Alligator mississippiensis: one gene and its partners. The protein of the gene in region 2 interacts with the protein of the main gene of each other region in a biochemical or structural test. Links are inferred from orthologs where the notes say so. Each region holds a gene or a part of one and is shown on either strand. Other genes may lie near its edges.

Region 1 (7,008 bases), on a different chromosome or scaffold from region 2:
ACAGCAAGTCTTCCACAGACATAAGTGGATGGCTTACACAAATCAAGGATTGTTTTATGCTAATGAAACCATGTATTTATTTATGTACTGTCGCATTAAGTACCGCTCAGTGAGAAAATATATTCTCCCCAAAGCCACCATTATTTCTGCCCCTTTGCTTCCTCCTTTTGCCATTACTCCCCCTCTCACCTCTCTGTATTTCCTTTCCTGTATCTCCAAATTCCCACCACAAGGGGCTTCAGTTCTGCTAGTCCACCTTCTAAAATAAATCAGCAATGGAATAATTAATATTAACACAAAAGCTAGAAGGTATAGAGAAGTTAACAGAGTTATTGTTTCAGGCTGTCTGCAGACTCAAGCAAACAAATTATAGTTGGTATGTTCTCTTCAGACACAGTAGTTAAGAAATTTCACATATTAAAAAGATAACTTAGATTCTGCACAATACAAGTCACTTAAGCTAGATTCAACCTATAGGCTATATGATACTTTCCAATTCATGCATAATTACAACCCTGACCACTGCAATCCATTATATGATCAAAGTTCAAACACATAATGTACACATGGCACTGCACGCTTAGCCCGATGCACATACTTAAAAAAAATAATAATAATCAGCATCTTCCACAACAGCATTCTGCAAGAAGACAGCTTTGGAATTTCAAGCTAATTTTAAGCTATAAAGGGTTAAAAACAAATTTAACTTTGAGGAATGGCATCTTCACCAATCTTAGAAACGCATTGTGCAATTTACTATATACTTTGTAAAGTAGGAAGAAAAACAAAAATACAGAAGCACAGGAAGGAAACCTGTGTGCAACCCTGCAGATAGATCCTTTAATTTTTAGAAAGTTAGAGATAATACTCAAGGCCACCTTAAAAAAAACAAACAGAAAATTCAGCTTCACTATACAGTTTTAACAGGCCTCCAGAATAAGTAGTGTCTAGTATACTGCAGGACATTAACCACCACATGCTATTAACCAACTGTAATATTTTTAGTGTTGGATAAACTGCATTGAGATAGCTAGCTAAGTGACATTATCAAATTATATTAAAACTTCTGTCTTTAAAATCCCTAGAGCAATAGTAAACATTAAGCAACTGGTAATCAACTTCACCATCTTTAATATTAATTCTGCACAGTTTAAGTGGGATGTACCTCCCTATTCCCTCTTACTATACTACCTTACTCACTTTCGTTTACAGCCAATCTGATAATACCTTTTACTTCAACTTTTTGCATAATCTGGGCCTTGATGTTTGTAATAGTTGCCAACTTTCAGCATGTTCTACCAAGAGCAGCTTCACAACATTATAAATTGCGCGCCAGATATTCATTCACTTCAGCAAGAAACAATGGTGCTATTATCTCTAATCAGAACTAATGGACCTTACTTGAACAAAGCTACTTTTACAGAACCAGTCATCACCAATTTGAGGGCTTGAATTCACATCACTTCTCAAAACTTGAAGCTGTAGCTAATGAGACTAATATTTACACCATGCTAAAAGGAAAGATCCACAATAAAGATCACAGATTAATGTTATGCTGCCTCAAGGAAAAAAATGCATTGTGTTATTTCACTCACATCTCTTCCTTAAGATGTAGATGTCAATATAAAAACTAACCTATTTGTTTATGGTCCACTATAGCTTAAAACTAAACTGATTTCAAAGGACCCATGTTACTATTAAATCATTTCAAATACCATGAATACAAAATACTTGGTTGGATCCCCTACAGTAGCCACAAAAACATATTACGAGCTGAAAACTCAACATGACACAGCTCTAAATCAACACTGTCTTAAACAGACAGCAATGTCTAAGAACACAAATACTGAAATAACTTTGATTTAAGGCACCCGCAATATTTAGCTTGTCATCATTATATCTTATTAGTAAAACAGAGAACCTTTTGTTTGCATCTCAGCCAGGATGCTGAAGCAACCTGGGGTGCCTGGAGCTCCAGCCTTGTGAGGTGTGCAAGCCCAATTCACCCAGAGATTTCAAACAGGAACCCACAGTGCAAACAACATCCTGCCCTGTGGTGGTCTTTCCGAGCTCTCTGCAAGACTAACATTATTGCTCTGTGATGTTTCCACAGTCTAAAAACAAGTGAAAAGGAAGAGCTGCCACTTCCCAACAAAGCCTGGACAAGGGAGACAGGGGTTGAGCCCAAGAAGATTGAGAACCAGGACTCCAGCACTTGGCAGGCAAAGCATCCACCTTGTTACCCCCTTTTCCATTTCAGAAACAGTCTGACCCGGCTCTCACTTCCTGCTCCCTCAGAGCCACCTCCCCCAGGCCAGCACAGCCTCTGCACTGCCCCTGGGTGCCAGCATTCAAGGAGGAACAGAATCGGGCAGGCCGCACCATGCAGTCGCAAACACTCCTCCCTTCCTCAGTCTCTATTTTTAAAGGACCTCTCACAGGTGAAGCCAGGGCAAGGCCCGGGCCCGCAGCCAGGCCCCTGCCTGCTGGGGGGGCGCGGGGGTCAGCGAGCCCTGAGTCATCGGGTGGGCGCCCCCAGCAGCGAGGCCGCGGCTCTTGGCCCACTACAGCCCGGCCGCTGGACACGGGGCAGACGGGGGCACTTCGGGCTCCGCAGCTCCCGGCGCTGTCACAACTGCGCCCGCCAGGCCGGGCAGGGGTCGGGGTCTGGGCCGGGGACACGGGCTCGGCCAGCAGGAGGCGTCCGCGCCGCGGTCCAGCTGCTCCCATTCATTCCCGCCGCCGCGGCGGAAGCGGCTGCGCCAAGGCCCCGCTCGGGCCCGGCCGCCACCGTCGCCGCATGGGGCCTCCCTCGCGCCCGCCCACACCCGGGCCCGGGCGGCGAGGGGGGAAGGGCCCGGGCCGGGCACCGGAAGCCGCGCGCGGGCCGGGCTGGGAGCGGGAGCCGGGGGCGGGGGCCTGGTGTACCTTGATGATCCTGCGGGGCAGGCCGGCCATCTTGTCTGATCGGGATTCAGGCGCCGCTGGGTCTCGGCTCCGCTCGGGGGCTCGCGCACAACCGGAAATCACCCGCGACCCGCTTCCGGTAACGTCACTGCCCCCTCACCCGCCCCCCCCCGCGCGGCACGCCGGGCAATGTAGTGCAGGAAAGGAGGTGTAGTGCGGCAGGCGGGGCCCGCGGCCTCAGGCTTGCAGGCTGTGACGTGCAGCTGAGGGGGCGGGGAGGAGGAACGCGGGGAGCCACGTGCACTGCTGTCAGGCTCGCGCTGCCCTTGCTGTAGAGTCACGGTGTCCCGTGGGAGGGGCGAGGCCCCGAGGGGGGGGCGGTCCTCGCGCCGTTGGCGCAGCCAATAAGCGTAGAGCTGTGGGGGGAAGGGCAAGAGTGCGGGCCTGTTGCCACCGCCCTTCGTGGGCGGGAGAGATAGGGCCTGGTCTCCGCCCTCGCCCCCACCCCGGAAGTGCTGAGCCGGGGCTGCCGGCCCCTTCGTTTCAGCTGGGCACTGAAGGCTCTCCGAGTGCCGAGTACTGGCTGAGCAGCCTTATCCCCGTTTCGCAGACAGGGCGCCATCTGACGACCACACGAGAAGAGAAAGGCATGTGGGTCCCGCTGCCCCAGTACTGTGGACTTCTGCTGCTCCGTCCCTGCTTGTCTTTAGAGAAGTGGCTAGCTGTGGTAGTGTAACGTCAGCTAGAAGATGCCTTTATACACGCATAAAGAAGATACGCATATAAACAGAGCGAGCGAGAGCAAGCTGGCTTTTGTGAACCCGAGTTCACTCCATCCGATGCCGTCTGGAAAAGTGTAGTCAGGGACTGCCCTGCCTTGAGCAAGGGGCTGGACCAGATTAGGGTTTCTCAGCCTTTTCCAGGCCAAGACACATTTACACGAATAAAATGTCTCCCTTGCGTTCCCTATCCCCCTATTCATGATCTCGTTGTAACCCATTACCAAGGCAAAATTCAGCGGCACCCCTGTTCGTTTGTAATGGCACGCCATTGTGCTGCGGCCACTAGTTGGGAAGCGCTGGACTAGGTAACCTCTTGAGGTCCTTTCCAGCTCTGCTTTCCCATAATCCCATGAAGGGCTGGGTAAGGGCAGCAGTATTTCTAGTCCAGCACCTGCTGAGGGAAGCACTTGGCTATGTCTCATTGGAATCCAACTGTTTCCTTCTCAATCTCACAGGTGTTAATGATGTGCTCTCCTTTTTAATGATCGTAATGTTCAGCTACTGTGAGGTATTTTTTTCTTTTGCAGTTCTGCTCTGAGTTCTTCTGCTAGCCCTGCTCCTGTTTTACAGCTCTCCACAGTCTGTGCAACTCTGACTACAAACATTAGCTCAGCCCTGCATGGGAGGCACTGTCAAGAGGCTCAACAGCAGTGGCCTTAGAGTTGTTGGGGTCCTGGGCAAGCGAGTCATTTGAGGCCCCTTAGAGGTATGTACTCAGGTAAATATTAACCCACCACAGTTGTCTTGTGAATCTTTTTAATGTTTTGGGGGGAATTAGATTAGTAGTCAAGTGTTTAAAATGGAGCCACTTCCTTGCAAAAACTTCCCCCCCCCCACCAAAAAAAAAATTGGACCCCCTAAAGTGTGGGGGCCTGAGCAGTTGCCCAGTTTGCCCTCCCCTAAGGCTGCTACTGGGCTCAAGAAGGTGAGATTTTGTTGGATGAATCTGAAAAAAATCTAATAACTACGGGACTGTGATTACATACTGAAGGTATAGGCAAAGTGGTGCATTCAAGCCATCATCACTTAAAAAGAAACCCCTGTGGGTGCCTCGCCCGGACCAGCTCCAGCCCTTTAAGAAAAAAAAAAAACAGAGACAAGCCCCCAAGACTCGCTGCTCCTGCAGCAGCCTCAGGGCTTTGCGGGGCTTGTGGCAGAGCCCCCCACATAGCGTGTGACAGCAGGGATTGCCCCCTGCTTGGCAGTACCTGGTGAGTCTGGACTTTTTTTTTTTCTCCTTACAAGTGCTGGGAGCTGGGGCAGGCGGGGCAGCCATTGCAGGGCTGGGAGAGGGGCGGGGAATGGGCCAGGCCTGGCTAATTCAGAGATTCAGCTGCTGCCGAATCTCCAACCCAGATTTGGCCAAATTGAATCGGGACAGTGATTCGAATCACCAGATCAAATCGCTGTCCCCCAAATCAGCCGAATCCGAAGCGAATACTAGCCACTTCGCACAGGCCTACTATCTGGCACCCTTTGCTGCTGTGTACATATACCACAGTCAGAAGCTTACTGAAGGGTTGAGCATGTCTTTGGTTACAGCTACACGTCAAGCTAATCCTCATGTCTGGACCTTCTTCAGCAAGGCCTCCTAAGCCACGCCTCTGGCCCACCCAGTGTGTCCCCCCTCCAAGTTACCCCTTTTACCTCTATGATCTAGCCAGCCCCAAACCCCATACAGGGCATATATTTTCTGCTTTTCACAAGCTTAAAATTGTGTTCACTTCAGGGTCCCCCTTGTCCCAGTTCTCAGTCAGGGCAAGGAGGGGCTCAGGCATCCCTAGAGGGGAAAAGTCCTCTCCTTTCAGGGCACACAGGTAGGAGGAGAGAATGTGGTCTTGAATGTTGCTGTCCCTCATTTTTTCTACCACCAAACCGAATGCCCTCTATCATATCCCTTGCCCTATCCATCCCCCATTCCTGACCTGAACCTCCTCAGCCCCTCTTCTCCTTTGTCACCTATTCCTCTTTACCCTCTTTCCATAATGTCCCCATCCTTTGCTGCAGCTACAACCTTTTCTCCTGTTCCCCTTCCCATTTTGGTCCCTTCTATTCTACTTCCAGCAAACACTACAGTTGGGGGGCAATAGAATGTGGTAGAATTATTTTGAAGAAATGCTATTTTGAAGGGAAGGACTGTATCTGAGGAACCTTTTGTTCAAATGAACTCAGTTTGGATGATTAAATGCAGGGTGTGTATTTTAGCCCACTTAAATAGTTGACCTTTAAATCGAAAATGTTTACAACCCTAACTATAGCAGAGGTTGCTCTCTACTTAATTGGAAAGCAGTATCTCTTCTGTTGCAGTCTCCCATAAAAGTAGACAAACAATACAAACGTTTTAATTCATGTAGCATTTAAAAATATTATAGTTTTAGAAAATGAATTACTTGTACTGTCCTCAAGTGATTTTACTGGCAGGCATGTTCACCAAAAGAACACACTTTGAGAGACTCCCATAACTGTTCTTTGCAAATTCACAGAAAAGGACTGATTCTAACTGTTTTTGATCCAAACGGAATGGAAACAATACATGCAACTTGTGTGTTCAGCCATAACAATCTGAATTCTGAATATGGAAATCTTGCAACTGCTTGTGAGCTACTGTCCAATATGATTCACTAATTAGTGATTTCACCGGTTCTTTCAAGTGACACACATTTTAAAAAACAACGTATATAGACTTAACTCATGAAATGAGCTCACCATTTGTTAAATAAGGTCCAAGTCATGTAAAGCATTTATTCACCTTTTTTAGCTTTATGCAAATCAGCATTCTGCTGAGTTCACTGATTTCAATTAGACGACTCATATGTACATGCTTGTCTTTGTGTGCAAGTATTTGCAGAGTCAGGGTCTGTTCATTATGAGTTACTCGCCCTCTGTTTCCTGTGCTGATTGAGAAACATTCAATTCAAATCCTTTACTGAGCATTGTTTAAGCATGTTTTTTAACATGGTTTATTCTTACAGTCATCACTTAAAATGTTTGGTGATTTTTTTTTTTAACTTAATTACTACAATTTCAGTCCTGATCACAAAAGTAGAACAAACTTATTTTTTTAGCAACATAATGTATTCAATGTGTGCATGGCAAGTGGCATGATTGCGGCATCACACATTAGATCCCATCATGCCTTATTGCCAATGCAAGGGGAGCCCAATCCCAGGCTCTCCCTGCAGCAGCAAGAAGCAAGCTCTCATTTGAGGGGCTCCCAGCTGCATGGGTGTCCCACATATCACTGGGGCTGGGGGATTACAACAGCCATAATCTTCCAGGCTCAGAAGGTGGAGGGGGGGTAAAAACCCCAGACCCAGGG
Region 2 (7,640 bases):
AGCAAAGTGTCTGCAGCAGCGCAGGACACAATTTCTGTGCCACAGCCCAGGCCCAGAGACACATCTCCACCTGGTGAGGAGTCCAGTCTTTCTCTTTGTCAACTGGAAAAGATTGCAAATTGAGCCATTAAGCTCTATGGCTGCAACAGAACCAGATCTACCCACTCTCCAGGCCCCTGATGAGTTCCTGGGGAGACTTGTGGCCCAGAAAAGTGAGAGGTTGAGAGTACAGAATAAAACCACACACACATTCCCTCCGTGCAGCTCTGCAGGCCAGAATTACTCCCTCTTCCCAAGCAGCTCTGGAACGTACCTCCCTCCTGCTTCAAATGCCTGGTCACAGCAGATTGCAGGGAGGGAAAGATCAAAAGCTGTTGTTGCTACATGGTTGTGCATAGCAAAAACATGGGCTTGCAACACCCTTCTCCCCAGCTGCTGCTCCCAGCCCTGTTCTGAAGGGTAGGAAAGGCTTAAAAGGTAAAACCTCTCCCCTACACACAACACCTGGTGGTACAGGTAACTATGGAAGAAGCTACCATAGGTTCAAGCAAGAGATTCTGCAAGCTAGTGGAGCAGACACAAGGCAAGGTGAAGAGAGAGATCGCACAGCAGCTGGTGCTGATGAGCAGGGACCTACCGTGCCTGCAAGATGCATGTGTAAGAAACCAAGGAAATCTACTTGATACAACTGCAAGGCACTGCCTGTGTCTCAGTTACTGGACACAGAAACTTCAGGTCACAATTTGGCACTTAAATAAATTTTCACTGGAGGATCTCAATGGAGCGTGCGGTGGCAGGGGAGTGTTATCTTCATAGCATGGATAGGGAAGGTGGAGCAGAGACCAAGAGACTTGTCCAATGCCACAAAAGCAGCAACAGAGAAGAGGAGGAAACCTGACCCCCAGCTCTGGGTATGAACTACTTTGTCCAGTAGTGCAACAACAACCTTGCCATAAGCGCTGCAGTTCTACTGGCTTTTCAAGACAAGACCTTTAAAACAGAGATGCAGCAAATATCTTCCCCCTCCCTCCACAGGTCCTACTGCAGTGTGGCCCCCACCCCTCACCTTCATTTAGTTTCTTGGTACAAAGCTGGATCCTGTCCAGGTAGCAGATGTAATGCTTGAGGGAATACTTAATGGGGGTGAGGCCTGGGATGGACTCCACTGCTTCATCTGCCATGAAAGCCACAACCTCAGGGGCTCCTGCTGCCAGGATTGCTGAAATGGGAAGGTGGGGGAGTATGCAGCAGAGGAACTGGACAGGTTGGAGGGGGTGGGGGATAGCAGGAGATGCCAAATCCTTCATCACAGCAGATGTCCACTTTCTTAGGGCCTTGGGGCTGGCTCTTGGATGCCTGTCAGAGCCTGCCAGGGCAAGCTGGCACATCACAGAACCTGAAGCCAAGCCAAGAGGACTTGTGCACACCAACACTCCCAGGAGAGATGGGACTGGACCAGTGCAGGGTTCAAGGGGAGGCTTGCCCTTGGGCAGCTGGAATTACCTCTGCTTCCACAGATAGGTGTCTCTCCACCAGCTCATCACAGCAGGAAATACACCAAGCCAGTGACTCAACCATCCCAGCTGGCACCTTCTCGTGCAGGTTTGCATGCCCTCGACCTGTACTTTCTGCTGCCCTCAGTGCTAAGGACCTCTTCAAGGTTTTGGTTTTAACAGGCCACTAGCAACTAGTTTGGCTGCCTGCAAGACTAGGAAGAACCAGTGGCTTCCCCCTTGTCCACAGGGCTGGGATCTAGGGCCACCGCTGTTTCCCAGGAGCCATGAGTGTCAGCATCTTGCATCCCACTATGCAAGTAGCAGTGCATGGCTGTTTGGGTGAAAGTGCTGACCAACCCTGGCTGTTCTTTCACTTACAGTTTGGTCAATCCATGGCTCTACCCCCTTATCTCTTCCCCATCCCTCACTGAATTCCCTTAGTCCTTACCTGAAGCTGTGGCTGGTCCTATAGCCTTTAGCTGGCTCAGCTCAGTTATGGCAGCTGCCACATCTGGGAGGAGCTGAAAAGCTTTCCTTGTACAGCGCTCCACTGTCTCCTGGGAGTTAGTGGCCACCAGCTGCTGCAGACGAGGACGGAACTTTCCCCGCTAGAGGGGAGGAGAGAAGGCAGCAAGGTGAGCCCCCCTCAACTGAAGACTTAGCTGTGCAGGTGACTACAGCTCATTGCTTGTAACCCCAGGGGCTGAAAGGGGCAATACTCTTATTAGAGGGGATCCAACTCTGAGGCCATGAGTTCTTTGCCAACCCTTTGAAAAAAAAACAGAGCAATTCTTTCTTGGTATACATTTCTGTTCAACTGTAGTCCCCTGACTATGCTCTACATGCCCCCTGGGATCCACCACGCCCTAAAGATAAGACTCTGAGGTCAGAGAGAAGATAGCCCAAGAGGTCTTTGCCTAAAGCAATACTGTCCAACTCCCCTGGGCTTGTCCTAAAGCCACATCCAGACCACAGAGCTCCTCGTGGGCTAGATCCAGATCTACCTCTGGCAACAGGGGAAGTGGCAGTGGTGTGAACTGCTGTGGTTTCCTGGGTGTTTGTGTTGGCTCAAGGAGCCGAGAGGAATAACAGTCTTTGCTTGCCCTGCTGCCACTGAACTGGCAACAAGGCTCTGTGCCCTAGTATTCAGCAATGGGCCCAGCCCCCACTCACCCCAACCCCTCTAGGAGTCTTGTGGGCTGTGACAGGTCCGAGGGCCAGACCTGGTCTGCGGGCTGGGTCTTTGACACCCCTGTCCTAAGGAATAGGAAGTTGGGTAACCAATTTGGAAAATGCAAAGTGGTTTGAGGCTGAGCACAGTGTGCCTGGAGGAAAGTTTACTTGTTCACAACTCTCGTGTATCTTTTCCAGCTACTACGCCACCCCCTTACTCTGCATCTTCTCTGGGATTTTACCTTCCTTTCCTCGTTTTCCCAAGTAGACAACAGCCTTGCCTTCACGGCTCTATCCTATTACCACGACACTCCTATCTCAGTGCAGTTTCATCTACCTTCTCCTTTCTCCCAAATATTCTTAGTGACTAAGCCAGCCTGCTGCTTTCACCCTGCCCAGCTATAATTGGACCAACCGCTCCATTCCAGTGGATTCAGAGCCAATGAAAATAATTCAATTATAAGCTCACTGATGCAGATAATCTCTCTGTGCGCTCAAAGAGCTGTGGGCAGTACTAACGCTGTGTAAAAACAAATTAATAATAATTCCCCTGGAAATCCAATCACAGGCCTGTGGAGCTAGTGGGAGGAAACTGACCAAGCTGTGTGAAATGCAAAAGGTTAGGATTTATCTACACTCAAACTGGTTTGCTGCTATAACATGACTGGCATGGCTGGACTGCTAAATCCCCTACTGGAGATGCAGTCATTGGATCCTTTAAACTGTTGTGTTAGGACAGCTCACACCAGTTCCCCAAGTGGAACAGACTATCCCAGAAATACGCTGCTTTGCCATCGTGACTGTATCTGCATTCAGGCTTCAGTCGTGTAAGCTGGGCGATAACAAGGTGAGCTAAGGACAGAGCTCCATCATGCTCCTAACTAAATTTGTTCGGCTAGCAAAGGTGTTTACATGGAGACAGGATCAAAAAGAAACGTGACATTTCTAGAGATGAGGCTACTGACTCCTCAGGCCCGACTTACCACAGCCTGTCTGCAGCTGAATGCAACTTAGAGCAACCCCAAGGTTGTTGCAGGTTGAACCAGGGTCCAGACTGATTAATTGATTAACAAGCCGCAAAGATGACATAAAACTGCTTCTCTACCCCTGCCCTGGGCCAGAGGCTATGGCCGGCCCATGATTTCTGTCTCAACCTTAGAAAGGTAAGCACAACAGTTACCAATTTAAATAGCTGTCAGACAGCTGGCGCGCACGTGCTCCCGAGCGGAAGCAAACACTCAATACCCTGCAGACGTCGGATCTCCCAGCACCTGGAAGAGATGTCGCAGCCCGTGGGGGGCTGAGACCCCCGTCCCAGCCGTGCATCCACTCCCATTATAGGGCTGAGACGCTGCACGTGGCCATTCAGCTGGGAAGTGACTCACGGTGAGTTTCCACTGCATCAGCTTCACTACTTCGCCCTGGGTCAAATGCTTCTCTTTCCGTCCCGCGAGAGCAGCCGGCAACTCCTCCTGATACCTGAAACAGAGCCCAGAGCGGGCAGGACTCGCGCCGCCGCCTGCACCCGACCCCCTGCGGCCCCTCGTGTCACCGGGGCACCAGAGCCTGGGGCTCCGCACTGGCGACAGCTTCGGGCGGGACGAGCAGTTGCGCGGGCGCCGCCGCCGCCGCCGCATTTACCATTTCTCCAGCCCGGCGAGGCCTTTCCGCTCGCTCCCCTTGGCTTCGACCACCGCCCAGTGCAGGTCGCGCACTCGTCTCCAGCACGCGGGGTCTTGGCAGCCGTAGAGACCTCCCTTGGCCGCCATGTCTGTGAGGACCCCTCGCTCCCGCGGTCGCCCCCGCTCTCCACCAACGCTCCCAGCACGCGCCGTGCGATTCGCGCCAGCTTCCCAGTGTCCCCTGCGGCAGCCCCAGCCCCGCCCCTCACGTGACCCCTCCCGCAGGCCACGCCCCCGTCCCGGAAGTTCCGGCGGGCGGGGCGGGGCCGTGGCTGTGGCCGGCGCCGTCGGTGTCGCAGCCGCAGCGCAGCGCCAGGCCGGGCGGGCGGGCGCGCGCGGGGATGAAGGGCAAGGAGGAGAAGGAGGGCGGCGGCGGCGGCGGCGCGGGGCCGTGCGGGGCGGGGCCGCGGGGCGGGGGGCCGGGCGGCGCGGGCGCGGGGCCGGGCGGCGGCAGCCCCGAGAAGAGCCACAGCGCGCAGGAGCACAAGGAGCAGGGCAACCGCCTCTTCGTCGGCCGCAAGTACCCTGAGGCGGCCGCCTGCTACGGCCGCGCCATCGTGAGTGCGGGGCCGGGGGAAGAGAAGGGCCGGGCTAGGGGCGGTGCCGCCGCCGCGCGGCCTCTACCGGGCCCCGCCGCCCTCCAGCGCGCCTGGCTGGCAGGGCCCCGCGGGCCACGGCGGGCCGGGGGAGGCCCCTTAGCGCTGGTTCCTGCCCTGGCCCAGGAGCAGGCAGGAGGGCAGGGGCGGCCTAGAGCCGGGGGCGGAGTCCAGGGCTCAGGACCCGCGGAGCAGTTGCAAGACCCCCGAGCAAGTGGCCCAAAGCACGAGGTCTGTCCCTGTGATACTGTAGATGTTAACATAAGCAACACTGAGGAAAAGGAGGTTTTGTAAAGATGGTGCAACATACATATCTGCATAATGAGATCCAGTAACAAGCAAAGGTCAAAATAAGCTAAATATCAAGGCTGAGTGCAGCCTAGTAGACTGTATATAATGGCCCAGGAGAGTAGTGGAAAGTGGTCACACACCAGGAAGCCTCCCAGCCCCAGCGGTTAGGGAAGTCTGGGGGTGGTGTTGCCCTGGGTTGCCCCTAACGCACGCAGGTCTTCTTCCAGAACCGCAATCCCTTGGTAGCCGTGTATTACACCAACCGGGCCTTGTGCTACCTGAAGATGCAGCAGCACGATAAAGCCCTGGCAGACTGCAAGCATGCACTGGAGCTAGACAGCCAGTCTGTAAAGGCCCACTTCTTCCTGGGTCAGTGCCAGATGGAGATGGAGAACTATGATGAGGCCATCGCTAACCTGCAGAGGGGTGAGTGCCTGCCAGTCAACAGGCAGCTGGGCCTGACTCAAGGCATTGACAGTCTTCATAGTCTATTGACCTTCCCTGCTAACAGGAGTGCCCTGGCTGCTTTTAACTTACCGGCAGGGGGTGTGGCTGTTCTCTGTTCAAAGGTGCTAGGATGGAGGCCCTAGCTAAGCTGCAGGCAGGCCTCCCATCCTGAACGGGCACAAGTAGCGCCCACCTGCAAAACTACAGCCTGTGAATACAAAGTAGAAAAGGCTGGAGTTGAGCAGGGGACAGCTTGGAGTGACCGTACGTGCACAGCTTCTCCCTAGGCCGGGGGTGTTTGGAGCACCAGTTGAAAGCCTGTGGGAGTTCAGTGCCTCTGTGCTTGACCACACACCAGTCATGTGGCTGCGGGTGAGGCCCAAGGGGGAGTCAATTTCTTTGGCAGCTGCTTGGAATTCAGTCCCCAAGCAGTTTCTCTGCAGCTGGTATGGTGGGGTTCGGGTTGTAGCCTGCAGCTTCAAGTTTAATGAGCCCTCCCCATTTGCTGCTTTGTGCTACAGCAGCAGCATGACTTAGGGCAGTGCCACTCAGGAGCATATTAGCCACTTAAAGCTGTAGATGTCAACTTCCGTCTGCCCTGCATGTGTAGGTGCTGGCGTGGCCGGAGCAGAAAGAGTGAAACCATCATCTAGAGGCTGGTATTGCACTTCTCGTGATGAGCTGCACTGCCAAGTGGGTTTAGGAAGGCTTCTCTGCTGACCTCCACTTTGTCTCCTCAGCCCACAATCTTGCCAAGGAGCAGCGGCTGAATTTTGGGGATGACATTCCAAGTGCCCTGAGGATTGCCAAGAAGAAGCGCTGGAACAGCATTGAGGAGAAACGGATCAACCAGGAAAATGAGTTGCACTCCTATCTGACCAAACTTATCATGGCTGAGAAGGAGAGGTAATGTGGGTAGGAATCTCTTCCCCCTCAGCAGCTAGGAGGGATGGCCTGGAAGAATATCAGGCCTCTGCAAACAAGGGGAAGGAATTGGAGAGTCCTCTGAAGGATGAGGGCAGCCTGGCCTCATAGACTGACTTTGCTATCTGGGGTGTGAGGAAGGCAAAGGGGTTGAACACCTGCTGGCATCTGCTGTTGCCCTAAGTAGTCTGGTGCTGTTATAGATGGTGGAGTCCCTTTCTGAGAAAGTCAGAGGCTTTGTGCCAGGGACCTGTGTTAATTGGGAGGTGACCGCTCCTCCTTCTCCAGCATGGTGTTCCTGGTTGCTTGCCAAAGCTTGCTCTGTGCTGTAATATTCTTCTGCATCTGTCCTAGGGAGCTGGACGAATGCCGAAGGACACAGCAAGAGGAAAACATGGATGAGAACCGGGGCAGGGCTCAACTGGCCAACATTGAAGCCAAACATGTAAGGCATCTCCCTCTTTGTATATTTGGGACTCCCAGGGGGGTTGGACTGTTTCAGTGTGTTTTTGCTTGGGGAGAGCTGCAAACTTGGGGGGTGCTGCTTCCTTGGGCCACCCTAGCATGAAAGGTGGTAGCCAGACCTTTTTGAGGTGAGCATAGACCTATGGGTGACCTCTGGGTGGTTGAACCCATGGGGGCACCAAGAGATGCCACAGTAAAACCTTTGTGGGAATTCTGGAGCACAAAGGGGAAGTGGCTGTCACCATGTCCTGCTTTCCAGGCTGCTGTGCTGAGCGAGGATGACTGTTGGGAGCAGAGCTATAATCACAATTGCAACAGGTCAAGGAAACAAAGCAGGTTTCCCCTCACAGTGGCTGCTGTCTCCAGTGCTCAGTGTTTGTATAATGCAGGCTGCTTCTGAAGCTCTTTTTACACCAGGTGCCTGTCCAATACCAGCAGCTGCAGCCCATGTCAAAAATAGGTTGAATGGTATTGCATCCCCTATTTATATCCTGTGCCCTGTCCATGCTGTGCGATGCATCACTCAAGGTAGCTTGTCTGCTGTGTGGTGTCTGCTCAGGGCACAG
Region 3 (8,002 bases), on a different chromosome or scaffold from region 2:
TTCTAAATGTTGCTAGACATGGCAGCTTGTTCCAGCGCTTGCTGCCACCTCTCCCCATTTCTGATCCGAGTCCTGCTTCAATTTGGAACTGCTGAACCTACGTCTACTAGGCAACAAAGTCTCTCACATCTTTGGCCTTGGGCTCCTCCCCTGCATAGACTTGGCTCCCTGGGCCTTGGGCCATGTGTGCTGGGAGTTCATTGGGAAGCAGTTGGCCTGAGTCTGGAGCAGACTCTGCCTAACTGCTGTGCTCTCACTCTGATCGCTCTTGTTGTCCCTGCAGTACCCCCTGCCCGCTCCCCAAGGGGGGAAGCACGCCAGCAACCCTCACCTGGTGGAGGACCAGCAGTTCCCGCAGCAGCGGCTTTCCCGAAAAGCCAGGGAGAAAACCAACGTCTTCGACCCTGACTACATCGCGGGGGTTTCTCCCTTTGCAGAAAACGACATCTACAGCCGTGCAGCCAACCTGCGCATCCGGGATGCGGCCCTGGGTGCAGGCCGGCGCCGCATGAATCCCAACACCGCTACGAGGAAGTTCGTGAAGAAGCGGTGAAGGGAGAGGAAGAGCCGTCTGCTTGGGTCAGCTGAGCAATAAGTCACATTTTCATGCCTGATGCGCATGCGAGAGCGAGGCTTCTCGCTGGGTCCCCCTGTGCAGACCCCGAGCTGGTGGCACTGGGAAGGCCCCGGTGCCACTGCTTTCCATGCTCACCCGGGTGCATAGAGCATCAGGCCTCTTTTGACGTGAGGCATCTATCGAACTGGATCTGGCTGTATATTTTTGCTTGCTTCTAGCTGCGTGGCAGCAGTGGACACTTCAGTGCTTTTAATAAATAAGGTCATGGCAGTCCGTGGCTGTTTCGCTTGCAGTTGAGAGAGTTCTGTGGTTAATTCTTATGCTCTAAGACGGCATGTGGAGAAAGAGCATCTGTGTCCTGAGGCACTGCAGCCTACCAGTGCTGCAAAGGCAGCTGCTGCTCAGCTGACTGCTGCATGCGGGCTCTTGTGCTTGGCTTGTACCTCTTGCTGTGGTTCCCCCTGTTCCTGTTTATAAGATGCAGGATGCCCTCCCGTTGGGGTGCAAAGGTGTCCAGCCCAGTGCTGGAATTAGTGGACACATGCACAGCTGAATTTGCTGCAGTTTGAGCTGTTTTCTTGTAGTCCCAGATGTATCTCCCATCCTGCTGGTGCACAGCACCCCAGTGGCAGGAGCATGCTGCATGCAAATCTAATGGACAAGGGACTCTGCACACGGCAGGGACACGCCTGCCCAGCCCGAGGATGGCGTGTAGTGCGGGAAGGGCCCACACCTGGGCAGAGGCAGGTGCAGCATTGCAGTAGCCCTCCCCTTTGATTTGCCTGCCGGAGCAACACTGTCAGGCTGTAACCAGGAGCTGGATACAGAGGCAAATACTTGTCCTTTGTTTCCACTTGACAAAGTGCTGATATTATAGCAGGAGCAAATACTTTGCTTTAGCTTGGAGCAATGTACAGTGTCCTGTAAGACAGGGAGCAGCTGCAGCCCCAGGGCCTGGCCAGTACCATGCTTTCTCTATCGAGCTATTTCTTACCTGTCCGCTGGCTTGGCTGCAGAGGGAAACGAAGAGCAAGTCTCTCCTCCTGGCCTAGGCTGGGTACGAGGTTGGCGCACAGAGGCAGAGCAGCAGTGGCTAGAAAGCATGGAAAGGAATGGTTAACAAAGATGCCGTTTAGAGAGCGCTGTGGACAGAAGCAAGGCTTTCCGCGTATCAGTGCCCTGGCCTGCAAGCAAAGCTAAGCCAACGTTCAGGCACAAAAGGGCTTGGCAACTGGGTGACCAGTTGGGATTGAGTGCTCCAACTGGGAGCAAGGCAGCTATTAATGGGAAAGCCCTTTGTGCAGGTCCCCAAGTGCCCTGGTTCTTTGAGAAGAGCTCCAGGCCAGAGACAGGCTGGAGAGGACTGATCCCTCCTTTAGGACCTTTCTAGGGCTGGATCATCACTTCCAGGTGAGGTGCTGCTCACTGCTGGGCTTTGTGGCTTGTTACTGAGTGGAAAAAAGCATCTCCAGAGTTTTCAAAACCCCCTTTTCCTGCCTGCCTTTCTCCGCTCCATCAGCCTTCCTGGAGCTAACCCAGCTGTGACCGTTCAGTGAGAATAACTTGGCTCCACACTCCTTTCTCTGTCAGTTTTGATGGCGTTTGCTCTGCTCTGACAAAAAGCAGCACGGTTGCAACCCCAATGCCCAGGGCGGGACAGCTCTTGGGTTCCTCTCAAATGCAGAAACTGCCCCTCTCGGCAGACAGCTGTGCATCGCTGTCTTCGGGACTGCGCTCAAACTTGCGCACTTTCAGCAAGACCTTTGCTCGTGCTTTTTGAAGAGGGCAGTTCCCTGCCGAGGGGGAAAGCGGAGCTGTGGGGCAGAGTGGAGTTTGCCCGTCATGCTTTGTTGGCGTGATGCCCGAGGAGTGCTGCTAAAGCTAGGCCGTGCCAGGACCCAGCAGCATGTCAGGGCGGCGTTTGTGGAGCCAGGGGCGGCTTGCATTGCTGAACTTTATCGTCCACGGCCCGCCCAGGGCAGCGAGCTGTAAATCATTCCTTGGCGTTGTTTCCCTTCCCTTAGGCCACACGCTGTTTTTCCCTTACTGCGTTTTAGTGCATGGGTCTGAGCTGGTGCTTGGAGGAAATCTGCACTCCTGGTTTCAGGCGCTGGGGAAAGGCAGCGACCTCTCTCCTGTCACATTGGTGGCACAGTGCTGCCTTGCTGGGAGCTGAGAGCCCATTTCCTTGGGGGCCAACTGAGGAGGAGGAGGAGAGGGATCGGGCTGAGCAGGGCTCTGGGACCTCCAGCCGGCGAGTGAAGCTTGCACGTGGCTGTGAGCATTTGTGTGCACACTCGCCTGGTGCTTAATTAGCTTGTTTATGCTGCCTGTGGCTGGACTAAGGACCATGGGAATGGGGGGGGGGACTCCAGGGGCCCCCTCTTGTTTCTCTAATTATTACTCTAGATACCAACCACAGTCAACAAAGTGTTTCCAGGGCCCCACTGTGACTGGGCAGCAGCATCCCGACCTGCCGTACGGTCAGGTACAGGCCCCAGCCCCCCGTGTCGCTCGTTCAGAGGCTGGGGTCAGCAAGGCCAGTCTGCAAAGCAATAGGGCAGCACCCCAGGCCAGAGGAGCCCGGCCGCAGGTCATGGACCTGCTCCCCTTCAGTTCTTAGTGTGGGAGCATGGTCTGGCCTACACCCGCTGACTGGGGCAGCAGGTCCTAGGCGTCGCTGTGTCCCTGGCCTGCACCCTGGGTCTGGCCTTTTTGAGCTGGCCCTTACGAGCTGCTTAGTTCAGCTCTCTAGCGAACAGGGTGCTAAATGCGGAGAGTGAAAAGGTAACTAATTCACCTCTGGTGCATTTCTAAGCAGCCCAGTACCCTCCCGAGGTACAAACTGAGCTACGCAAGGCGCCAGAACAGAGGTGGCAGGTTCCTCTCTGCAAGGGGCATTTCAGGATTGCAGCCAGACCCCGCAGCTCAAATATTCAAAGTCCCTTTTTGCTTCCGAGTGCCGGCTTCGAAGTCAGGTGCAGTCACGGAGACCTGCAGGCTCGTCGGCGCAGATGAACGTCTGGAGCCAGGCTCTGAAATGGGCATACAGTTAGCTTTGGAAAGGTCTTGGGCAGGAAAAGAAGTGGCAGGGTCTGCTACGCTCTCCCCTGGGCCAGGCAGCGATCGGCAAGGTGCACCCTCCCAGGCATGCGCAGCACCCAGTCAACCTGGGAGGACTACAGCAATAGCAGCGACTGAGGCCCGCACAGTCTCCCTGCTCAAGCTCTCCCATTGCCATAACAATAGAAAAGGCTGCTGTTCTTGCACGTAACGTGCGTGCCGGTCTGGACCCCCCTGCCTGTCGACACCTTTGAAAACCATGACCTCTACCGTGACTTAGCTCTGCAGGTGCGCGGGACTCACGCAATGCTGTTCTCCACCCACAGCCGCAGAGCAAGATCTTTTGTTTGAGTTCATTACTGTTTGATAGCGCCGCGCCCAATTTAATTCAGGTGGAGCGCTGCAAACACGATATGGTCTGGGGGCAGGTTTTGCTCAGCTGAGTCACCCAGCGCGACGGGCCAGCAGCCAGCTCGGCGTTACGAAAGGCCTAGGAGGAGAGGCCCGGGGACCTGGTGTGAGGGGGGTCTCGGGCATTTTTGGTCATGTACCTGTAGCAGGTTTATCTTTTCGGTAGCCCCTTTCTAGGTCTGCCGTCCAGCTGCGTATCCTCACGGCTCCACGGTGCAGAAGCAGCACTTCTGCATCGCTCCTGCCCTGTGCCCCCATCAGCTGCTCTTCGTGAGGTTAGGTAGACCGGGATTGCAGGGAACCTCCACTTGTGGCTTAAAGATAGAAAACAGAGCAAATACAAATGGTTAGTTTTGGGGATGAAAAGAAGCAAGCAGTGGGTCCCCCAGGTCTGTTGGGGCCGGTGCCGTGTAACGTGTTCATAAATGATCTGGAAAAGGAGGTGGCCAAGTCTGCCAATGACGCCAAATGATTCAAAATTGGTAAGAGCACGGTGGGTGGGCCTCGGGGCACCGAGCCAAGGGGCAGCTCAATGGCAATTTAACATAGGTCCACCTGGCTGTGACCTCTGCTTGGATGGGCTCGACGCGAGCTGTTCCCATATGGGGAGCAGAGCTAGGGGTCCTTGGGGCAGTCCCCTAAAAACAGCGGTCCAAAAGGCAAACGGGAGGACGAAGGGAGACGTGCCCCTCGGTGCCTCCACATCTGGATAACTCTGGTCCCCGCGGCTCAGCCAGGAGCGCGAGGAGGGCAGAGGGGAGCAGGGGGCTTCCCTAGGACACGGAGGAGGCAGACAGGAGAGGCTGCAAAAAGGGGAGGGTTACGAAACGCAAAGGGGAGAAGGGAAAGTCACTGGGGAGTTGTCTCCCTGGCTCTCGCCGGGCGCCGCAGGGACCCAGGAGGCTGCTGCGAGGCGGCAGGACCCCGCGGGCAGCTGGGTGGGGCTGAGCACTGAGGCATCGCCTCCCGGAGCCGGCTCCGCCCTTGGGGAAGTGTCTCTGCAAGCTGGGACCGGCCCGGCTGCCTCCGACCCGCCATGGCTGGTAAGAGACGGGGGACAGGGGCAGGGGCTGTGCTGTGCCCCAGCCCGGGCTGGACCGGGGCTCCCAGCAGCGCAGCCCCTGGGCCCCTCTGCCCATGGAGGAGAGGGGCAGGGGGCAAGGGGCAATGCCCTGCCCCAGGGCTGCCTGCACCTGAAGTGCGGAGCGGAGGGGAGAGAAGGGGAAGGGGAGACTCCTTCTTCCAGGGCGCCCCGGGGAGCTCCTGCACGCACAGCGGCACCGTCGCGGGGGTTTGGGCAGACAGGGTTCCTGGGGGAAATGCGACGTCTTCTTTTTTAAACCAGCTCAGTAGCTGGAGAAATGGGTGTAAGCGCTCAAAGTTACACCAGCCCAGGGCAGGAGTCACCAAGGGGTGCAAATGTGCTGCCCGCAGGGAAGTCCCAGGACCTCCACCCCCCTCCGCGGGGCAGCGGGGTGACAAGCCGGTCGTGGCACCTCACAGCGCTGGCTCCAAGCCCGGCCTTTCGTGGCGGGTCACGGCTGTGCGGGGGGACAGCCCGAGGTTTGTAGACTCGGGGTGCAACCGCTCCAGACACCGAGCCAGCACGAGTGTTGATCCACACTCGTGCAGCTCACAAGGCCTCTGCTCCCTGCCCCCGTGCGACGCCGGACGTGGTCTGACCCCTCCGTGGCAGCTCGGATGCTCTCGTGGAGGCCGGAGGCTCCGGGCTTGGGCAACGCCGGCTCGGCCTCCTCCTCCTGCCGGTCTCGCTCCAGCTCCCAATGCCCCAGCTTTTCCCGTTGGTGCTTCGCCTGCCCCGTGGACGGCCCTTGCTGCCTTCCCTCACGCTGCTCCTCCGCACAGCCCTCCTCAGCCCTGGGAAACACGGCGTCCCGAGGGCTCCTCCTTTGCACCCTGATCTTGGTGGGGGTGCGTAACCCCCCGACAGGTGCCAACCTCTACGGCCGTGCCTGGGCCTTGGTCTTCTTGCTGTGCGGAGAGCGGGGACCCTCGCGGGGCCGCCCTGGCCGCAGCTGGCTCCTCAGCCCAGGTCTGCGTCCACAGGCAATTCCTTTTGGTTGCTCCCCGTAAGGCCCTCCGCTCGTCTACCCCCTTCGCTCCCTCCCTCCTTCCCCCCGAATTGCCCAGGTGACTCCTCCGCTCGCCTGCCGCCCCCCCCGCCCCTTCCCCTCACAGCACGGATGTGCCAAGGTGCTCCCACGTGAAGATCCCAGCCGTGGCCCTGGGTGCATCGCCTGCGACTGCCTCCTCTCCCTTTTCATCTCGTGGTTTGATGAAGGCCGCGCTGCGGCATGGTTTCCTCTTGATCCCGGTCTCTGTCCCTTATGTCCACTGAAGCCGCTCTCGTTGGCAGCTCAGACCTGGCCCCCCACCCTCATCCCCCTGGACTCGGCGGCTGCCTTTGACGCCATCGACCGTACCCCTCTTCGTGCCTTCTTGCCCTCCTTCCCCGTCCGCGACGCCGTCTCCTGCTTTACCCCTGAGCGCTGCAATTGCCCCTGCAGCACGTGGGCTGTTTGCAGAGCATCCTCTTGCAGCGCTGCAGGGCCCGTCCTTGATCCGCTCCTGCCTCCTCCGGCACGTTGGCTCGAGTCGTCTCGGGGCGGTGAGCCGTGCTAGCCTGGAGCCAGGCAGGGCAAGGGGGCGCCTTGGAAGTTAAGTAGAGGCGCGAGCTTCTGTACGCAAAGCCCAACTGGTCCGACGCCAGGCACGGACACCAGTTAATCCCCAAGTACAAATCCAATTCCTGCCTCTGCCCGTGACTTGCTGCCTCCCTTCCTCAGACCTGCCTCAGCCGGTCCAGACTAAGAATTCAGCATGGGTTTCAGCTCAGTGAGGCTAAAAACGCTCATCTTTCCTCCTTCCTGCCACCTTGCTCGATCGCTGGGCACACCGACTCCATCCGGCCTGTCCCCGATGGCCTGGACCTCCCTCTGGGCCCGCTCCTTCCGTGTAACGTTCCCGAGACGCTGCTCGAATTCTTGTCGTGAGCCTCAGGGCACCGGGGTCCGAGACGGCTCGGTCCTTCGCTGCTTGCTTGCGTGTTCGGGACGGGAGACGAGCTGAGCGAAGCCCTGCACTTTAGGCAGCCAGACTTTTATGGGGCATCCCCCTCCAATCCTTTCGCCTGCATTTCAGGCACGCAGACTGAGATCCTATCAAGATCCCATCTGCCGGGGTGGCAGGGAGAGGGGGCACGTACTCTGCGTTGCCCACGTCTCGGGAATCGGGAAACTCGGTGTTTTGGGGCGCCTTTCCCTCCGGTGAAGGAAGCGCTCCAGCTTCTCGCTCTCTCTTCCAGCAAAAAAAGCCCTGATCGTGCTGGCGCACGCGGAGAAGACCTCCTTCAACCACGCCATGAAGGATGCTGCTGTCGACGCACTGCAGAAGAAAGGCTGGAGCGTCGCCGTGTCTGACCTGTACGCCATGAAGTTCAACCCGGTGCAGTCCCGGGAAGACATCACCGGTACTGAGCAGCGCTGTTCCCCCGAAAGCACAGAGCTCCTTGGCACCGGTCCCCAGCACCGACCTCTGTCCTGTTTTGCCTCCTCTCTCAGGTAAGCCGAAGGATCCCAACAACTTCAACTACGCGGTGGAGATGGGCTTGGCGTGGAAGGAGGGCCGGCTGAGCAGCGACATCGTGGCAGAACAGAAGAAGCTGGAGGCTGCGGACCTCGTGATATTCCAGGTACCTCCTTCCTCGCCAAGGGAGCAACCGCGGATGGAAAGAAAAGCAGGACTCATCTCCTGACCTCCTTCTGCAATCTCTCCGTCTCTCCCTTCCTCCTAAGTTCCCGCTCCAGTGGTTTGGGGTGCCAGCCATCCTCAAGGGCTGGTTTGACCGGGTTTTCACAGGAGGCTTTGCCTACTCCTATGCCAGCATGTACGACCAGGGCCCCTTCCAGGTAGGCTGCGCTGGGGACGGGT
Region 4 (7,767 bases), on a different chromosome or scaffold from region 2:
TGATCCACGAAAGGAAGATGCTATGGGCGTGAGGTGTATTAAAAATCCATTACAGGAAACTCAGTCAAGCTCGGTGAGGTAATGAGAGTTTCCAGTATTTGTATAAAAATGTCAGGAATACTTATTTAAAATAATGAAAAACAACTCAATAGCTTCTCTTCTAGCCCTGATGTCATCTTCCATTCCTTTTCATTTTAGATGGGGGGAAAAAAGAAAAAGCATATTCTTGAAATCCTCATGTTCGATAGCATTTCAATTGTAAAACTGCCTGCCACTCTTTATAACCAGCCCCTTTGCCCTGAAATTGGCAGGCAGTTTGAACAGCATGCACAATTTTTGACGTATCTCCTATTATACATGGCCATATGTGCACAGACCACCTACTGTATGCTTACAGGCCAGCTTATAGCCTATATGCTTATGGTACTGTGCCATAATAAAGGATGACTCTGATGGTGCGATGAAACACCAAAAGATCTAGCAAGAGTCATTATCCAGCTTTACAGAGGTTTACCTTCAAAATTCAGGGCTCAAGTCAAATCTCATTTACAGTGCAGCAACTCTGTTATTGAGTTACTCCACATTTATACCAAGGTCATTCCCAACAGTCTGGCTCCTGGTCTTTCAATCAGTCATTCATACCACACACAAAAGCCAACACAGTAATAGCAGTTGGTTTTATCTTGCCCACCTACCCATATAGAGAACGCCCTCTTTCGTCTTTCCTGCTGCTTCTGCCACACCCTGTTTGGTTTTTTCTGCTGCTGCCACGACTCCCTCCTTAGCCTTGGAAAGCCCTTTCATGAATACATCCATGGTTAAACAATTTCTTTAGACAGTACTGGAGAAAGAGAACAAGACAAACATTTTGAATCAAGTGCTCTTTTTTCTGACAGGAAGACTTTTGTTCCAGCTGTGACTAGAACCGTTTTTATTGAAAGATTAGATTTTTCTGAACATCACAAATATCATCTGTATACATTTGACTTTCTTCACACACCCATGTTCAGTATTTCATACAGAAGAAAAGTGGTCCAAAAATACATGCACTCCTCTCAATGGCCTTGATATTTTCTATTTTCTCAAACGCTGTCATACATAACAAGTTAACCAGCATTACAGACATACATCTTGTTTCTGCAGTACTCTCACAACCCAAGTAGAACAGACCTAGCTAATTGCAAAGGAGCCTTAAAAATGAAGAGGCTGCAATGTGCTATAGGAACTGATTCAGTTCTGGTGAGGGTGAAGAATGGGGGGTGGATTAGCTGATTTAACAGATCTTTTCCAGATCTTCTCTTTTCTGAAATAAAATTTCCTTTAAAGGAAATGAGACGGGGTTTTTTCCTGTAAGAAGGAAGGATTCAGCTCTAAGATGAGATGATATTTTCTATCTCCTCACTCAGAGCCACAGACTCCCTTAAAGAAACACTGTCAAAAAAAGCAGACTTCTGTGCAAAAGTGTTTAATTACTATTGTTATAAGAAACCCCTATTATACTTGAAAGGATTTGGAGGGGGAGGGGAGAGGGAAGGTCTGCTTTTTCGGATTTGACAGCATTTCTTTCTGTTTGCTTCTTTCTCCTATAGAATTAGTTTCCCCTGTGATTTTAAGTGGTCCTTCATACAGCAGCAGGGGGAACAAAACATGGAGTAAAAGTAGAAAGACGTCACTGTAAAACTCCCAAACTGGCAGGTGGGAAACAGGAGCCAAGGTAAGGTCAGGAGCTACATATAAGTCACTTAAAAAATGACAGTGTCCCTTTAACAAATTAACTAGATTGGTGATCACTTCTTTCTCCACCCATATGTAGAGCAAAAGCTTAGGGGTGCCTCTCCTCTCCCTTTCCCTTGTGATGCTGAGAAGGAGGAATGGGTGTCTAAGGAAACATCTGGGCTGCAGCCACCCCTACCAAGGGTTTTAAAAATTAGAAGTGCTATTGGTGTCTCATTAAAACCTTTTCTAACAGCTGCCAGTCTTCCTAGGAGAGGCAATGAAGCCGTTTCAATCACTGAGATGTAAGATCTGTCTAGCTACTACTAGCGAGGCTCTCTGGGATCCATTGTGGGGAGGCAGCTTCCAACCAGGCTTGACACTAGTGAGGGAAATGTCCCAGGACCTTCTCCAGGAGCTGCCCTCTCCTGAATGATGCTGTGCCCTGGAGAATCACACAGACACATGCACACATGCATGCACACACATACACACTCTGAGCCCTGGGAAATCACACTGCACCCCCCAAACACGCAAACATACATTCACACATGCACATACACACACTGAGCCTTGCGGAATCAACCCCCCACAACACACACACAGCTCACACACACACACACACAGGAGAGGAAGGCAGGCTGGGGCACCTGTTAACAGAGCATTCACTCACCACAATGGACGCAGCCTCCCATCCCTCCCCCGGCTGGGCAGTTCGGCAGTGTGCTGACCTGCCGGAGGGGACGGGGCTAGACCAAAATTTTATTTAAAAAAGAGAGAGACAGAAGGAAAGTTTGCCCAGTGCCTCCCTACAGAAAGCTGTGGCATTTCCAGGGCACGAAGCAGCAGCAGCTGAAGCCAGGCTCAGGCTCATCCCGCCCAGCGCACATGTAGCCTGGGATCAGGTACACACACACTCTCTCTCTCATCCTCCCCGGGATGAAGCGACCCGCGAGGCGGAGGCAGCCCGGGGGGGTCGGGGCAGCAGCCGGGCGGAGCCGCCTCTCCGCACACGCAGCCCCGGGGCCGTGCCCCGCTCCCGCCAGGCGCAGCCAGGACAGGACCCAAATCCCCACTGCGAGAAGCACCGTCACGAGAACGAGCAGCTGCAGGCACTCACCGCGGGGCCCGGGGAGCTGCAGCGGCGGCGCGGGGGACCCGAGGAGCGGCCCCTGCCTCAGCACATGGCGGAGCCGGAGCCGGCGGGAGAGTCGCGGGGAGCTGCCCCCGCCCGGTCCCAGCCCGGCAGGCAGCGGGTGCGGGTGCGGGCGGGAGGCGGAGAGAGCGGGCAGGCAGCGACGCTGCCCCTCCGCCTCCTGCCCCCTCCCCATCGCCTTCCCCGCCCAATCCGTCTGATTCGTCGCAGGGGGAAGATGGAGGCAGGCCTCCCCTCCCATGTGCCTGGGCACTTCTCCCCCCATCGCCCCCGGGATGAGGCACTCCTGCCTCTGAGGCTTGGGCACCGCCTCCTCTGGGGGTCCCTTGGCCAGGGGATTCATTGCCAAGAGCAGAGCACATGGAGACTGACTGGGGAGGGCAAGAAAAAAGATGAGTCTCCCTTATTTACATTTATTTATTTATTTATTAGTATTTGTACCCAAAGGCTTGCGAAGAGGAATTTTTCCAACTATTCGAGTTGGTCTAATAGAAGACATCAGATTTACCCAAAGAACCCATCTCTCTTGGCAGGCAAGGCTCTTTGGATAGATGTGATATCTTTTATTAGACCCACTAAATCTTTAGTTATCTAGTCCATCTAATAAAAGGTATCACATCTCATAAAACATAGCACATCTACCCAAAGAGCCTTACCTGCCTATATTCTTAAGCCAACACAGCTACAACCAACAGCCCTGTCTCCCTTGAGTGTTTCCAGGAGCTTCAGATATCACATATTTAGTTATTTAGTTGGTCTAATAAAAGGCATCACGTCTAATAAAATATACCACATCTACCTGAGGAGCCTTGCCTGCCTATGTCCTTAGACCAACACGGCTACAACCAACAACGCTGTCTCCCTTGGGTGTTTCCAGGAGCTTCAGCAAGTGCCAGCCATCAGCCCATTCTGCCCCCACCTTCCATCCACCAACAAAAAGAACATTGGATGCCCAGGAGAAGGAAGCCATGGCCAGGGAGACGTTTCCTTTCAGTCAGCACACCTTCCCATCATCCAGGCCAGGCAACAGACCCTGGGGGAAAAACTGGATCCTTCTCATTACTGGCTCCCAGCACCCAAACTGACAAGCGGCAAAGAGATGGGGTGACATCTTCTTGAGAGCAGAAGGGCTAAATTTCCAATGGTATTTAACCAGTGTTCAAATTACACTTTGATACTTGGGAGGGGGGAAATCAGAAAAAAAATGTTGGGCTGCCCATCAGGATGCCCTAATAAAATGAGAGACCCCCCAGGTTATGATTTGCAAATCTTACAACAGGGGGGCTCTTGTCTCTTATGGGCAGGCTCAGCCCCCCTGAGCTCCCCCGTAATTCAAACCCTGCATTTAAGATGCTGGTAGATGCCAGGTGGGATTTTCAGAGCGTCTAGATCCTTCCCCTGGAAGCCAGGATGCTTCAAAAACGTCTCTTGCACCCATCTGCCTCTTTCAGTTCCTTGAATGCCTTTATCTGTTTCCAAAGGACCTAGAAACCCATGTGTCACTGACTTTCTGTGAGATGTATGTTCCCAAAAGCCTAATTTTGTTGTTAAAATGGTCACTTTGTCACTTTTGAACATGTTACCTCATTCAGTTGTTTCTATTGGAGGAAAAGAACTGCACCCTGAAGTGTAAGCGCTATAAAAACCTAGACCTGGCTCCTGGTTCCTACTAGAGCCATTCAACACCTCAGGACACCCTCTCAGGACTAGAGAAAAAGTCTGATCATTCTTATTATACAAAAACATCCAGAGCCTGATGCACTTAGCTAGGGTATATTTGGGACCATTTTTTGGAATGCAGTGTGAGTTGTCATCGGTCTTGTACTGTATTTTGATGTTATAATTTGCATGTAAGAGTCCCCAAACTGCAGGACTGTAGTATTCCAGCCTTCTTCCTTTTCCTTTATTTTATCCCACTTTGCAAGACTGAAGCAAGGGGCATGAAGACAGTAGGTTGAAGGCAGAGGATAGGCAGGGAGTTGGACTTCACGTTTCCACTTTTCCTTTCATCCATCTTCCAACACAGATCTTAATGCTGAGCACCTGTTCCAGTCTTCTTGACAAACACAGGCTTTTCTCCCACTCTGAACATGGGAATCAAGAGTTTTGGCCTTTCTGAGATTACTTATGAGCTCCAGTATCTCAAAATAGCCTGATAAACTTCCCTTTAGTTCATCCAACTCCTAGCTTCAATCAGCCTATTGTTTACCAGTGTGGTTTGTTTTTCTCTGATTGAGAATATAAGTTTCTTCTATTATATAACTCTGCCCTCAAGAAGACCTTTTGTAAAACAATAATTACAGTACATAGAAGGCGTTTCATCTCCTTCACCATGCAGAGCAAATTCATGCTTAAAAGGGAGAAAGACTGGTAGGGGATTTTGTTTCCTCCCCCAGCTTGGAAGAGGCACATAGCTGTAATTTATTTGTCATAGATTGAAAAGGGACATTTTCAATATGTGGGGATTATTGTTGTTGTATTGCAAAACGAAGGTAGCAAGACTTCCCATGATCAAATCCCAGCTACTTGTATTTAGTTTAAAGCTAGAAAAAACACCAGTAACAAATGTGGACACAGTTTTCTTTCTTCCCTGTCAAAAGTGAAAATGGAAAAATATAAAATTATTCTATAATCTAAAAAGGTTTTGGCAATCTTACATTCCTCTGGACAATTTTAGATGCGTCTCAAAAGTATCATACAAGATTTAGCAAATACCCTCATGGACTCCTTGAAAGAAGTGCAAATTAAACATGGAAGTGTTTTGTAAAATCCCACTGGACCCCTATCTGCAGGCAGAGATGCTAAAATACCTTAAAAATTGGGCCCCACATCTCTCAGGAGATAGTCAACAGGAATCTAGTCCCCAAGACCCTTTTTAGAAGGAATGATTCCACAAGTGGACAGCAGCATCTTACAAGACTAAATTTGAAGAATATAGAATTTATTTGCACAGCACACCCCACAATCTAAGACTCAGAATAAAAGTGTCCTGAAAACCATTAACATTATATTTCATGACATCACTTGGCAATGTCATATCATGGCAATGACAAGGTGTTAGCAGCATTGCACAAACCATTCTATCAATGAAAATGATGATTACACTGATACATAGATGATACCAGGACTAAGCAAAGGGGTTTTTTGTTTGTTTTAGTCCAACAGTATTTCAGAAACCTCACCTCTAGTATAATGGCAGCAGTTTTTCACAGTGCCCAAAAGAATCACTCAGAGATAATTTGCAAGGTTCCAGATCAGTGGAGAACAGACAGGTTATGGAAACTGAATAAAAAGCAGCTTATTCTTCAAGCTGGTCTGGGAAGAGGAAGCTATGGAGATATGCTAGATAAAAATAATGGGTTGTCTCTATTATACTTATTAAAGGAAATATGGTGGGATTAGTAGTTGTATTTTAATCTTGACTCTTGTTTGGATTCTGTATCAGATGTCAAACCTGACTCTCTGTGCATCCACCCCTGCAACTATGCAGAACCCCAGAGATTGAGAGCCTTATCGTAGCTTGGAGGATTTGTACGTGCCCATGCTACAACAGATTGCAGTGGTAGGATTTAGCATAACAATAGACTTATCTGACTGACTGCTTTCTAACTATAACGCAAAAGATTAGTATTTTGTTTGTCATATTTATTAATAGAAACAATTCCAATCACACTCTTTGAATTGTGGCTTTTCCCCCAAAGACTATATCTTTCAGGATAATAAATGCACAAATGCAGTAGCTAAAAGGCACTTGCTTTGGTTGTCCAAGAGGGACTAAACAATGAAAGCTTAGGACTCCTGTTGCTCTTGATCAGATAACCTATAATCCCTTGCTCTGCCTCCCTAGAGAGTCCCCACAGGTCAAAGTGTTCTTTTTTTTAACCTAAAACATCCCAACAGCACATCCACTTCCAGTTTTACAGATACTAAAAACAAGCAGAGTTAAAAGCAAATGATTGACTCAAAGAGTAAAGAACAAATTAAGAGGTAACTGTCTGTATATGCAGAAAGTATACTAAAAAAAATACCAAACAAAATGCAAAATACTTGTTATAGGAATGATGGAAAATGTTGCCTACATCATGGCAAAATGATGTTCTTCCAGCAGTTGCCAAATTAGTTTTAGCCCTAAGGAAGAAATGTATCCCTGACATACCATAGGCCTCTGTTTTAGAGCAGACATGTTTATTATCTTTCTGCCCATCTTTTTTTCACCAAATCAAGTGGCTATCCATTACGTTACCTTCCAAAACTGTTTGACCAGACTCATCCTACTATATTCTGTCTAAACACTTGGTTATTTCCTTTCAATGTTCTTCCATAATTGTACCAATAAATGAAACTACCCTATTTACTCCAGCTGAAGATCCGGCCTACATAGTCATTAGCTTTAATCATTCTCACACACCTTGTACCTGACCCTTTGTTAACCTAACAACCCCCATGCCTGATTTATAGAACATAGTTTGGCTGGCGGTGCTCAGGTTCTGCCCACAAACTGTGAATGACTCTACATTCATAACTCTCTGTGACAGAGCACCTTTGGTGCCTGTCACTTTAAGGGCCTTGATGGCAGCAGGGCAGCTGGCAGGTGCAGGCTAGCTCTGCTGAATTGGTTGCATGACCCTGTGAGGACCATGCGATTGGAGGACAGGGCTCAGCAGACTCCATTTTAGCTCAGGCCCTCAAAGCTGCCCTGGCATTCTGCTGCTGGCAGCTAAAATAACACCACCCAGCTGAGTTGCTGCTGCTCAGAACATCCTTGGAGATAAGGGCAGGAGCTATGGGGATGGCAGAAGAATCCTGGTCCTGGGTATGACTTGAACCTGCACCTTGCTGGGGAAGGATGGCCTGGTGGGGCTATCTGTGGTGGGGTAGCTCCTCAGAAATGCCAGGCC

What was found.
Region 1: the proteins of STUB1 (region 2) and UBE2N form a complex in vitro, tested with the Homo sapiens proteins (11 studies listed by BioGRID and IntAct). The link is inferred for Alligator mississippiensis from reciprocal best matches to the Homo sapiens genes STUB1 and UBE2N.
Region 3: of the proteins of STUB1 (region 2) and NQO1, one has a biochemical effect on the other in vitro, tested with the Homo sapiens proteins (2 studies listed by BioGRID). The link is inferred for Alligator mississippiensis from reciprocal best matches to the Homo sapiens genes STUB1 and NQO1.
Region 4: the proteins of STUB1 (region 2) and SNCA form a complex in vitro, tested with the Homo sapiens proteins (2 studies listed by BioGRID, with this or other methods). The link is inferred for Alligator mississippiensis from reciprocal best matches to the Homo sapiens genes STUB1 and SNCA.

The regions. Positions count from the first base shown.
Region 1 is NC_081827.1:87,986,139-87,993,146, forward strand, and holds the start of UBE2N (ubiquitin-conjugating enzyme E2 N), read right to left. Parts: upstream 3,013-7,008; 5' UTR 2,959-3,012; coding exon 2,929-2,958; intron 1-2,928. UniProt on the Homo sapiens protein: The UBE2V1-UBE2N and UBE2V2-UBE2N heterodimers catalyze the synthesis of non-canonical 'Lys-63'-linked polyubiquitin chains. This type of polyubiquitination does not lead to protein degradation by the proteasome.
Region 2 is NC_081836.1:29,911,678-29,919,317, reverse strand, and holds the start of STUB1 (E3 ubiquitin-protein ligase CHIP), read left to right. Parts: upstream 1-4,635; 5' UTR 4,636-4,692; coding exon 4,693-4,908; intron 4,909-5,465; coding exon 5,466-5,664; intron 5,665-6,425; coding exon 6,426-6,591; intron 6,592-6,963; coding exon 6,964-7,054; intron 7,055-7,640. Other genes in the region: uncharacterized protein LOC106737444, read right to left, coding at 1-102, 1,067-1,219, 1,945-2,104, 3,941-4,148, 4,311-4,438. UniProt on the Homo sapiens protein: E3 ubiquitin-protein ligase which targets misfolded chaperone substrates towards proteasomal degradation.
Region 3 is NC_081833.1:76,440,106-76,448,107, reverse strand, and holds the start of NQO1 (NAD(P)H dehydrogenase [quinone] 1), read left to right. Parts: upstream 1-5,000; 5' UTR 5,001-5,087; coding exon 5,088-5,094; intron 5,095-7,376; coding exon 7,377-7,541; intron 7,542-7,632; coding exon 7,633-7,763; intron 7,764-7,866; coding exon 7,867-7,980; intron 7,981-8,002. Other genes in the region: RNA-binding protein NOB1, read left to right, coding at 284-553. UniProt on the Homo sapiens protein: Flavin-containing quinone reductase that catalyzes two-electron reduction of quinones to hydroquinones using either NADH or NADPH as electron donors.
Region 4 is NC_081825.1:152,570,546-152,578,312, forward strand, and holds the start of SNCA (alpha-synuclein), read right to left. Parts: upstream 3,014-7,767; 5' UTR 2,834-3,013; intron 842-2,833; 5' UTR 817-841; coding exon 696-816; intron 1-695. UniProt on the Homo sapiens protein: Neuronal protein that plays several roles in synaptic activity such as regulation of synaptic vesicle trafficking and subsequent neurotransmitter release.